Arabidopsis thaliana: one gene and its partner. The protein of the gene in region 2 interacts with the protein of the main gene of each other region in a biochemical or structural test. Each region holds a gene or a part of one and is shown on either strand. Other genes may lie near its edges.

Region 1 (5,684 bases), about 17 Mb from region 2:
TACCTGAAGCTCGAGACCGTGAAAAAGTTTCCATTATTGTCCGCAGCATCTTGAAGACAATTACAGATCGAAAGAGCACATGAAAACACGACGAGAGTTCTTAAAAGCAGAAACAAAATCTCTGCCATTGTAGGTGAAACTTTCTCTGAGAATTAAGGGTTTTAGACTCTTATTAGTGTGAGTAGAAGAAGAAGAAGAGAGAGCATCATCACTCGAGAGAATTTTCGTCGTCTTGATTGTTGAATACTGACTTTTTTTTTACATTTGTTAAATTTTTCGTCAGTTTTATCTCACGCGCCGCAACGGAAGTGTTGTAGTTACGCGCTGATCGAACGGTTGTTAAATGATTGGGATTTTTGGTAATGAAGAATCTTGGCGCGTGTCTTTTACACGGTATATCGGCGAGATAGGATCTTAGATATTCGGTTTAATATTTATCTGGTTTATATGAATAATATAGTACGTGTTGGTCAGAGACAAGAGTCATATAGGAACTTATTTATATTATTTTTTCACAAGAGAGATAATTTTATTGAACAAGACAAAACATTAGATGGACTATGTAATGCCCCACAACAGAAAAATAACAGATATATATTAGGCCAAACCAAGCCCATAATAGAAACTGCCCATGAAAAAAAGATATTTTATCTTTTGTCTCTCTCTATACAAAAAGGCTTTGATATTAATTTCTTTTAAATTAATTGGGGTGAGGGCCTTGATATTAATGGGCTTTTAGCGCCAATGTCTAATTTATAATCGACAACGACAGCGTTTTAAAATCTTAGACAACGGTATTAAAGTACATTTGTTCTCTGTTTTCTTCAAAAGGAAAAATACTATAATTATCAACATACATACATATCTTAGTACTTTTTCAGAGAAAGCTTCGTTGTGTGGGCGTGTGATATTTCCGATCAAGACAATGACAAAACTCTTGGTTTCAACTTCCGATCAATCTATTTGGCAATAAGTTCAAAAACTGTAATTTTACTAAACGAACTATTACACATAATACTCTGTTTTGGTAAACAGAATTTTTTTAAAATGCTATCATATATGATCAATAGTTTAAGAAATTTGATTTAAAGAAACTTGAGCTCTGCAGGGGCTTACGATATGGATAAATATGTGTGTATCATCATAGCAATTATTCAATCAAAGATAAAATGAGTTTAGATTCAATATAAAGGAATCTTAGATCAAACCAAACGGAGCAGACTTTTAAAAAGGAATCAAATCATTCAAACATGTTTCTCTCTCAGTGGTCAGGATTGAATTTGACAGACTCCTTGTAGATAAGCTCCTTTATGTGTTCTTCTGTGCAAGAAGGATGTTCGAAATCAAAGCTGAAAGGAGTCGAACAGACCGGTTCTTTGGCCACATCATGGTGCGGTGATAGGTAAGCATGGCCAAGGGCTTCATCGACTACACACACAACACATGCAGGTCTAATTGATAAGCCAAAAGCAAACTGCAAAAAACCACATGAATGTTTTAAGGATCTTTGTGTTGTTTGTTACCTGAGATGCGCCGGTTAGGATCAAAGACGAGCATTCTCTCAAGCAAATCGATAGCCGTAGTGGGCATTTTCGGGAATCTAGCAGCAAACTGTTGTTTCGGGTATCGCGGAAGTTGCCTGACGTATCTTCTTGCGTTGTCACTGCGAAGGAAGCCGAGGCTGGAATTGTCTGGAGAGCCTACAAGCTAATATCAAGAAATGGATATTAAGTGAAATCAGAATTGGGCATTGCAGTTTAAGAAAAGTGTAAAACTGATGCTTTTTTTACTTTACTGGTATACCTCTGTTATAAGCCTAAGCTGATGAACATAATCTTTGCCTGGAAACAACGGTTGTCCCGTCATGATTTCGCCGAGTATGCAGCCAACAGACCAAATATCAATAGCTGCGGTGTACTCTGAGCAGTTAAGAAGCAACTCAGGAGCCCTGTACCAACGGGTAACGACATATTCAGTCATGAAGTCTGTGTCGGAAGTTGTTCTTGCAAGCCCAAAATCACCAATCTTTAGCTCGTTTTTCGAGTTAAGTAGCACGTTGCTTGGCCTTAGATCACGATGTAATATGTTGGCCGAGTGCACGTATTTGAGCCCTCTTAAGAGCTGGTATACTAGGAACTGTAACAGGAAGACAAGTAAATAGAATAAAGATCAAATCAGAGAGTTCCATGACTTTACAAATGATTAGAACAACACAGAGACTTACACGGCATTGATCACTGGTCAGTGTTTGGTTAGAACGGAGGATTCGCTGAAGATCAGTGTCCATTAACTCATAGACAATGTAGACATCATTGAAGATATCTCGTTGCGGAGGTCTTACAATATCTTTGATGGTTATAACCTAAAGAATCAAACCGAGGCTTGAAGATTAGAGTAAACGAAATTATATATAAAGAGCATTTGACCCTGAAGATCAGGAACACTTGATAGATCTAGCAAATTTGAGAAACTTAAAAGATGTTGTCAAATGTGAGAAATGATGCTTAAGGCTTACGTTCTCATGATCCATATGCCTGAGAAGTTTAATTTCACGTAGCGTTCTCTTAGCATCGATGATGTTATCAAAAGCATTACCGATCTTCTTAATAGCCACTTTCTCTCCAGTCACTGAGTTCACCGCAGCACTGAAATTCAAGAATCAAGAGCCTGTGAACATTCAATAGAAGGAACGCTTTCATAATTTATCAGACAAAGAATCAAAAGAACTTACCAGACAATACCGCAAGCGCCTCTACCAATGGGACGAATAGGAGGGACATACTTTCTGGAAACTTCAAAGAGTTGTCCATAAACGTTGTACTGAACATAGCGGCCACCGTGTGTCGGTACAACTTTGATGCAATGTTCGGTAGAACCAGAGCTTGATTCTCCAGACATGATGATGCAATGATCAGACCGAGAACGAGAGAAACCAAGAAGAAGGGCTTTTGTTGAAGTTGAAGGATCTCCTAAAGTATCTCTTGAAGACACTAAATCCATGTGAAGAGAGAAGCTTTTTTCAACTGTAAAAGATCTCTCAAGGGACCCGTGAATCTAAAGATCATGAAAGATTACATACGTGTATGGTAACAAGAAGCAGAGTCACTCGATATTAGCTCAATATTGCATTTTTCATTTGTTACTACTAATTGCACTTAACTATAGATCAAAGCCTCTGATTTGTTCCTTTGATTGAAACAGGTTTAGAAAGATTGGATCACTACAAAGAGAGCAGTGATTTTTTCAAGCCAAACAGATGTATTCTATATTTATATTTTATTGCAGAATTGATTTCATACAGTCACACATACAAGACCAACACACCTAAACGGAAGAGACAAGCTCGACAGATGGACTCAAAACAAAGAAAAAAGAGAAAACACTATTTATAGAACCTAAAGCTGCCTTTTGTAAGGGTTAAACTTGTTTGTTTACCTCACTATTTTAGTCTACATCTTCTCCAACTGCATTGCCAGAGATTGAGTCACTTGACCTAAGATTACAGAGCAACACATCGCGCCCTCTCAAAGTCAGTTTAAAGAAACTATCAACTTCCTCCAGTAACTGATCCAACCCTTGAGACAATTTCTCAGCTTGTGTCCCCAATTCCATAACATTATCTTTGAAGAATTCAACTTCGACAGGATCAACGCCATCTTGGATCATCGGGTATAGCTTCTCGACACTAGCATCAACGCTCTCCAGCTCTTTGAGAATCGTGGTTCTACCGGAAGACAACATGTCTCTGATCTCAGCATTTACAACACTCTGCATATCAGTAAAGACCTTTGCCCATAATGGTTTTTCAGAGACAGGTAAATCGAAAAGATCCTTGGTGGAATCAGACCAGGCTGCGGTAAATACACTGCAGATATAAACTGTTTGAACCTTCACACCATAAAAAGCTCGCATCAGAACCTTTCCTTTAGGCGAGTTCTTGACTTTAGGCAGACTCAGAGATTTAACAAGACTGTCTAGAACCGCACGGCAGTTTTCAATTCTAGGGTTGTTTGTATTAACATGTTGCCTCCAGCTATCAAGCGAAGATCGAGCCTGGAGATACTTCTCCCCAGAATCCGATTGTAAATTGTGCAGAACACACTTGAGGAAGAGATCTCCCTGGTTGAGACGTGTGAGCTCAGAGCTAAAGGCATTACAGAGATCTAGTAACCTAACGCTTATGTTGAGGTAAACATCAACCCATTTCTCTTCCCAATCAGAGACAGGAAGCTGGAGATCAGTAATGAGAGTGTTAATGTTCTTATGAGTCTCGCAGAGTGACTCCATAGCTAGCTTCATCCAGGATAAAGTGAGGATGTCATCTTTGTTCTTAGGCATAAGTTTCTTCAGTCTCTCTTCCAAACGTAGCTCAAAGCCGTTCAATAGAGAAAGTAGCCATGGCGATAAATCTGATCCCTTTGATGATAACATCCGAAAGGGATTTCCAAATGGGAAGAAACCTCGGGGTGGATCTTGTGGTCGGCTCATTTTGCTAGACACCTGAAAATGAAAAGAGAAATATTGTTAGAATAATGATAATGATTAATCATACAAACCGATTTGCTGTGAACTCAATGTATCTTCTGTGTTGTTGCCACACATAGAAGGACTAATCGAGGAACAATACAATCCCAAGTCCCAACCTTAAGAGTCCCAAAAAGCTGACAACTTTTGAGATCTTGAAAAAAAAGAAGTTACCACCTTTATTGAAATGATGTAAAATCAAAATTTGAAGATGAAAACAAACACATAATCAATTGTTCTAAGCCATAATCTACACTTGAAGATGTCCAGAACCAAGGAATTAGGATAAAAGTTTCAATCTTTCCAAAATTAGAAGAACCCTAGGAGTTAATTATCTACACGGAAGTTTTGAACACAGAAGTTCGGTACAAACTCTTCATCGAACAGTAAAATCTATCTTAGAACTAAACACACAAACTTCGATTTACAGAAGAACACACACAATAAAAGGAGAATTATAGATAACAAAAAAAAACTCAATTTCCACGAAACTTACCGTTTTAAGTCGCCGGAAATGAAGAAATCACAGGGAAAATCGTGTGGAAATGATTCTTCTAATGCTTCATTGAATTTTCTGAGTCGATCGGCTGAGAAAAATGTCTGGCGGAGGTCGAGTTTGATAAAGCTACGGCCCGTCACATAAAAACTAGTTACAACCTTACAAGTATACCATTAGTGAATGGCTGTTACGTTTTAATTGGTCACAGCCTTGTGTGTAGTTAAATTCTTAGCGGAAAGTGGACGGCTATAAAATAATTAAAAGTTTTATCGAAGGGCCAAAAATGAGACGATTTCGTGGGATTATAAAATAAGTCATTGGTCGATTGGCGTAGTCTTTGTTTATTTTAATTATTATAACCAAATCTAACGGCTAACTAATACATACCACGTCCTACAGACTCCTGTTATTACTTTTAAAAATAAAAACTGAGAAGATTTAATCGAAAATTAATTTTGACGATTCATTATTATTTTTGGTAGTACTTTGCTTTTTAAAAAATTGTAAAATCCTCATCAAAAAAATTTCAGCAACTGTGAATATTTTTTAAAAGGCATAACAACTTTATTTGTTTTACGTAACGAATTCCTTGGATTTGCGTAAAACATGGGCCTCAAAGCCCAAATGACAGCTGTCAAGGAACAAATCGGTCGACAAAAGT
Region 2 (5,166 bases):
GCCAGTTCCAGCAATACTAGTCCCTAGTGGATCCACTCAGCTTAAATATGATGCCTTTGGCGTAAGTCTTTGAAACCTCGTTCTAAGTGTCTCATCTGTTTACTCCTCTCATTTTGCGGTGTTCCATAATAACAGGCGAGTCAGGCTGCATTATGCACTTCAGGAACAGTTGCTGTTGAGTTGCAGCTTGCTCATCTACCTTCCCTTGTTGCTTACCGAGCACATTTTCTAACAGAGCTATTAATCCGTTACAAAGCCAAGATACCTTATATTTCTCTCCCAAACATTCTCCTAGACTCCCCAATCATTCCTGAAGCTTTGTTTCAAGCTTGTAACCCTTCAAATCTCGCATCGATACTAGAGTATATCTTTTTCTTTTCACCCACTTTTACTTTATATTTTGTTATCTGGCAATTGAGAAATGGGCATGATGATGACGTGAGATGTTGTTTGAAACTGTAGGAGACTACTCTTGGATGAAAAGATGAGAGAAAGACAAGTTGTTGGTGCTGAGAAGTTGATACAGCTCTTGCATCCGTCAGAAAGCAGAATGGGCAACTCAATTCATTGCACTGGTTTGGAATCTCATCGATATACGCCAAGCATTTTAGCAGCTTCGACTATTCTTAGTTATGCCAGGCGTTAAAAACTATCGTGAGTCACATGCCTTTGTTTGATACTAGAGTACGCTGAGATACTTGCTATAATCTAAGGTTGAATTTTTTTCATAAGAGTTCTAACATATGGTAAATTACAGTTAAAGGCGAAATGATCCATGTAGATTAGAATGTCTCAGCTTATTTGGTTTGCAGTCTAAGACAAACAGTCAAAAAGGGCTTTCGAAAGCATAAAAGGATAAAGTGAAAGTATTGAATGTCTAAGCTTATCTGCTTTGCAGAAACAGATAAGATCCTACTAGTGTGGCTTGTCATAACTGGTTTAATAGTATATTTCGCTGTAAAGATCGATACAGAATTGTGGGAGAGTGAGGAATAAACCAGACAAAGATGCTTCCAATCTCATGTTCTCAAACCCCAAACTCTCTCAAGCAATGCACCAATCTCCATGTACAAAAAAGAAAAAGAAACATTCTCACAACAGTATATTTGTTGATGAAAATTCTTGCAAGAGTATATGATTATCTGGTTCTAAGAGCCATCCATTGCAATATCACCACCAGTTGTTGGCTTTGGTGGAGTTGCTCCAAAAGTGAACTCCTGAGGAGGGATACTTGAAGCAGGAGATGAAAATATAGAAGAAGTAGGAGCATTGTTGAACACAGGAGCTTGTGCTTGATTATCAATCTTAGGGAAACCAAACCCAAACGTTGGAGCATCATTAATATTCATCGCCGACATCATCTCAGATCCGAATATCCCCTGCTCAAACTCCTGCAGTTGTTGGTAAAACTCTGTGTACAAAGAAAAAGCAATGAGTAACAGTTTCAAGAACAATAAGTAAGTTTCTAATCCAAAGTCTAAGTACTTGCCTGGACTTATGTCAGTGCTTGGTCTCCGTTGTTTAACCCACTGATGACTCTCAGCGAGTCTCCACCCTTTTCGTTTCATCAAGTACGCTACAACAACCGCTGGTGATCTGTCATGTAATCGAAACACAAAACATATCACTCTATTAGTCTAAATAATTAATGGTAATCATAAGAAAGCAGCCGCAAGTTTAGGATGAGAGTAAGAGAATGATAAATGTACTCACCTACTTTTCCCAGACATGCAATGCACAAGAACACGTGCCTTGTCCTTCTCACATTGGTCTACACAAAGCAAGACCGTCAAGAAAAAATCATAAAGATGAAATCTAGAAACTTGAGATAGAATCAACATACCTAAGAACTTAATAGCATCATCAAACTGTAAAACTTTTTCATTATCAAGACCATGATAAGTGAATGAATTCCTGTAGAGATTCTGGCACATAGGAACCGTCTGAAACAGAGTAACAAAAACAGAGTCAATACCAACAAATAGTAAACAACACATTCCTCTCTATTACCATAACAGGAACTTTAACAGAAACCATAAGTCAACAAAACGTATAAGTATAAGAAAGATTCATCTACAAGGCAAAACCCTAACTAAACAAACCGATTCAAAGATTCAAAGATCTTATCTTTTTCTTAAGGGTCATCATCAATGTTTAAAACAAAAGCAATTCATGAATTCAAAATCAAAGCAAAGAAACTCACATTAAGAACACGAGAGATTCCTTGAGTCTTAAGAAGCTCAGAGCGAGAAGCGTTGTCGTAACTACCGAGGTAAAGAAACTCAGGGAGAATCTCCGACGGAAAAGCACTGACGTGGACTTGTTGCGGCGCCACCGTATCGGAAGAAACAGGCATACAGTGACCACAGACTCCACATACTTCTCCTTCCTCGTACTTATGGTAATGCCCACAAATCGAACAAGGGTTCTCTCTTTCTCTCTTCCTCATAATTTGATTTCGAAAATTAAACCTAGATCTGATTTCTGATCAAAACCCAGATCAGAGAAAACCCTTGATTTCACAGACGGAGGAAATTAGGGTTTGGGTTTGGAGAAATTTGTTTGAACGGAAGAATTGGGAAGGACGGAGAAGAAGGAGAGACTTGAGAAGAGAGTTTTTTTTGTATGAAGAATTGTTTTCTTCTTCGATGGGATTAATACTGATTCGGATAGATACGTGCCACGTGGAGTTTAGATTTATGTAAATCTTCTTTAAACAGTCTCTCAGTTTAACAGGTTCTGTAATAGATACGGGAGAGAGAGGATCTCTAACTGAGTCAAAATTGTTAACTGAGCCATTTATTGCAGATTTACTTTTCTTTTTTTTTGTTCAGGATTTACAGTAAAAATAAAAAAGAATTTTTTTTTTTTATTTAAGTATATAGTCCATTTTTTTATTTAATTTTAAATTTCCAATAATATTAAATCAATATACATGACAAAACGTTTAAATAAAGTTACAGGCCCAAATACACAATAAAAACCGAAATTAGGCCGCATGTCCAAATAGATGGCAAAATGCCAAAAACCGAAACAAGGCTCCAGGTCCAGAAGAGAAACCAACTGAATCTTCTACTGAAAAACGCCAAACCAAGTGACAAGGAGAGATGGACATGGGCGGATGATCTGTTGAGCTCTTGATAAGAGATCGAGGTGACAACAGAGGATGTTTTTGATCTCAAGAACAACTGTAGAGGCAGGTTTCCATATATAGTCCATTTAATGATTGGATTTTGCTAATTCTGTTAGGGATATTGTTTTATGCTAATTTCATACTTATTATTATGTTAACTTGGTTTTAAAGGGTAAAGTAAAAGTTTAAATAATAAAGTTATTTAAATTTCTTTTATTTTTGTTGTCGACCGCTAATAATTTAGCTTAAAAGAGTCATTCCTAAGAAATGTTGTTTACATAGGTAATATGATGCGGTTCGATACGGATTTTTCTTGTCAAAGAATCCGCTATAATATTTACACTACCAAAAATTAAAGATGAAGAAAAACTTGTGAATTCTTTCTTATTGTTCCGTAATTCCTCCAAATACTCTGAGAAAGTCGTCCATTCGGTTGGAGAAGACACTATATTCACCAGGTCTGAACAGTTTGTAAAAAGTTATTTAAACTTTATTAAATACGAGAACAGTATTTGATAAGGGAAACTGAAATTAAATTATTTATTTTACAAAATTTAATAAATGTGACTTCTCGCAACGTCAAAAATATATGTACATATATATATATAATAAATGTTACGCAAATTATGTAGAATTCATTGTCATTATGTATGCATAGTAATTAACTTTTTTACGTCTACATAAACGATTTCGATCGTTGTAAATGACATTCATTATTTCAATTACAAGAGAAGTAATAAAACATTTTTCTCCTCTTTTGTCTCTTTACTATTTAGTATTTTGATCACTTTACAAGTTTAAAAATAATCTACTATTTATATTTATATCCACCATAAAAATAATTCACTTATTTGTAACAATTTGTAAATTTATAATTCGCTATAAGTGTTAAAATATAGGAGATTGACATAAATGACACTAAAAAGGTTTATTATTGCAAAAATGACACATTCTTTTAAAACTTGTACAAATAGCACACAAAAATTTTAATCCTCTAAAAATTAATTAAAATAAAATATAGAAAATACACAATATCTAATCTCATTTCTTCCAAATCCAACAGCTTTGCCTTCGAAAAACCCGACGACTTCGTCGCTCACCGGATCAAATCTGAAATCTTCAATGACACTCTCAACTAAGCCCTTGAATGAGATATTCTCATCTACCTCACAAAGGGATCCACCTTTGTTTGTGTCTACAAGAAAACCCACTAAAACTTATCATTTTGTTCACACTCTCCACAAACAGAGTATATCTCTACCATTTATATACCAACCCTAAAGAAAGCAACAACTAATACAATAAACAAACTAGAAGATCTATAGTATAAAAACACCAAAAATCTACAAAACTTTCAAATACTTGGACATGACTTACAATTATTTCAGAGATTCGCTTGTTTTTTAATGTTTGTGGATGATATATTCCTGAGACAACAAGACTAGCTGCACAAAGAGGCAAATATGTCATGTTAGGTGTTCAAAATCGATTGATTTTGATGCTTATTTGCAGTGAATCAATTCACGAATCAACAAATTCGCCTAATTCCACATTGAACGCCCATTATACCAATATTAATCGTCTAATTTCGTTTCCGAAACGTTTCGAAAACGAGAAACGCACTACGGGAAGAGTTCCCATGCAACATAGATTATTATTAATAGAGCCAAAAAAACCGGACACTAGTAAACCAAAACAAACATGGGCCATTATTTATAACAAGGCCTAAAAATGAAAACCAAGCCCAACAAGAAAACTCTTAGGCAAAGCAACACACTCTGTCATCTCTAAACGTGGTGCCGTACAAATGAATTTCATTGACTTGTTTACACGCGTCCAACTCGTCATCTCTGTTTTGTCTATCGCCGGATTGGAATATTCGCCGGCAAAGAGAGAACAGTCGAATGATTCTTTCTTGACCTGGTAATCATGTGGAAAAATTAACGATTCTCAAATAAGCAACCAAATCTCTTTTGATTTCTACTGAGAATAAATGATTCAGTTCTTTTTGTTATAATCTTTTCCACAATACC

The links.
Region 1: of the proteins of IBR5 (region 2) and MPK12, one has a biochemical effect on the other in vitro, tested with the Arabidopsis thaliana proteins (one study listed by BioGRID).

Annotation. Positions count from the first base shown.
Region 1 is NC_003071.7:18,944,873-18,950,556, forward strand, and holds MPK12 (mitogen-activated protein kinase 12), read right to left. Parts: upstream 3,196-5,684; 5' UTR 3,001-3,195; coding exon 2,732-3,000; intron 2,646-2,731; coding exon 2,516-2,645; intron 2,363-2,515; coding exon 2,225-2,362; intron 2,137-2,224; coding exon 1,804-2,136; intron 1,708-1,803; coding exon 1,524-1,707; intron 1,452-1,523; coding exon of another isoform or gene 1,429-1,451; coding exon 1,262-1,428; 3' UTR 1,065-1,261; downstream 1-1,064. Other genes in the region: AT2G46060 (transmembrane protein-like protein), read right to left, coding at 1-128; BPS2 (BPS1-like protein), read right to left, coding at 3,445-4,488.
Region 2 is NC_003071.7:1,585,821-1,590,986, reverse strand, and holds IBR5 (indole-3-butyric acid response 5), read right to left. Parts: upstream 2,795-5,166; 5' UTR 2,450-2,794; coding exon 2,204-2,449; intron 1,944-2,203; coding exon 1,844-1,943; intron 1,772-1,843; coding exon 1,714-1,771; intron 1,597-1,713; coding exon 1,490-1,596; intron 1,412-1,489; coding exon 1,149-1,411; 3' UTR 821-1,148; downstream 1-820. Other genes in the region: LpxB (transferases, transferring glycosyl groups), read left to right, coding at 1-61, 136-362, 463-646. UniProt on the Arabidopsis thaliana protein: Required for the transduction of auxin and abscisic acid (ABA) signaling pathways. Dephosphorylates and inactivates the MAP kinase MPK12.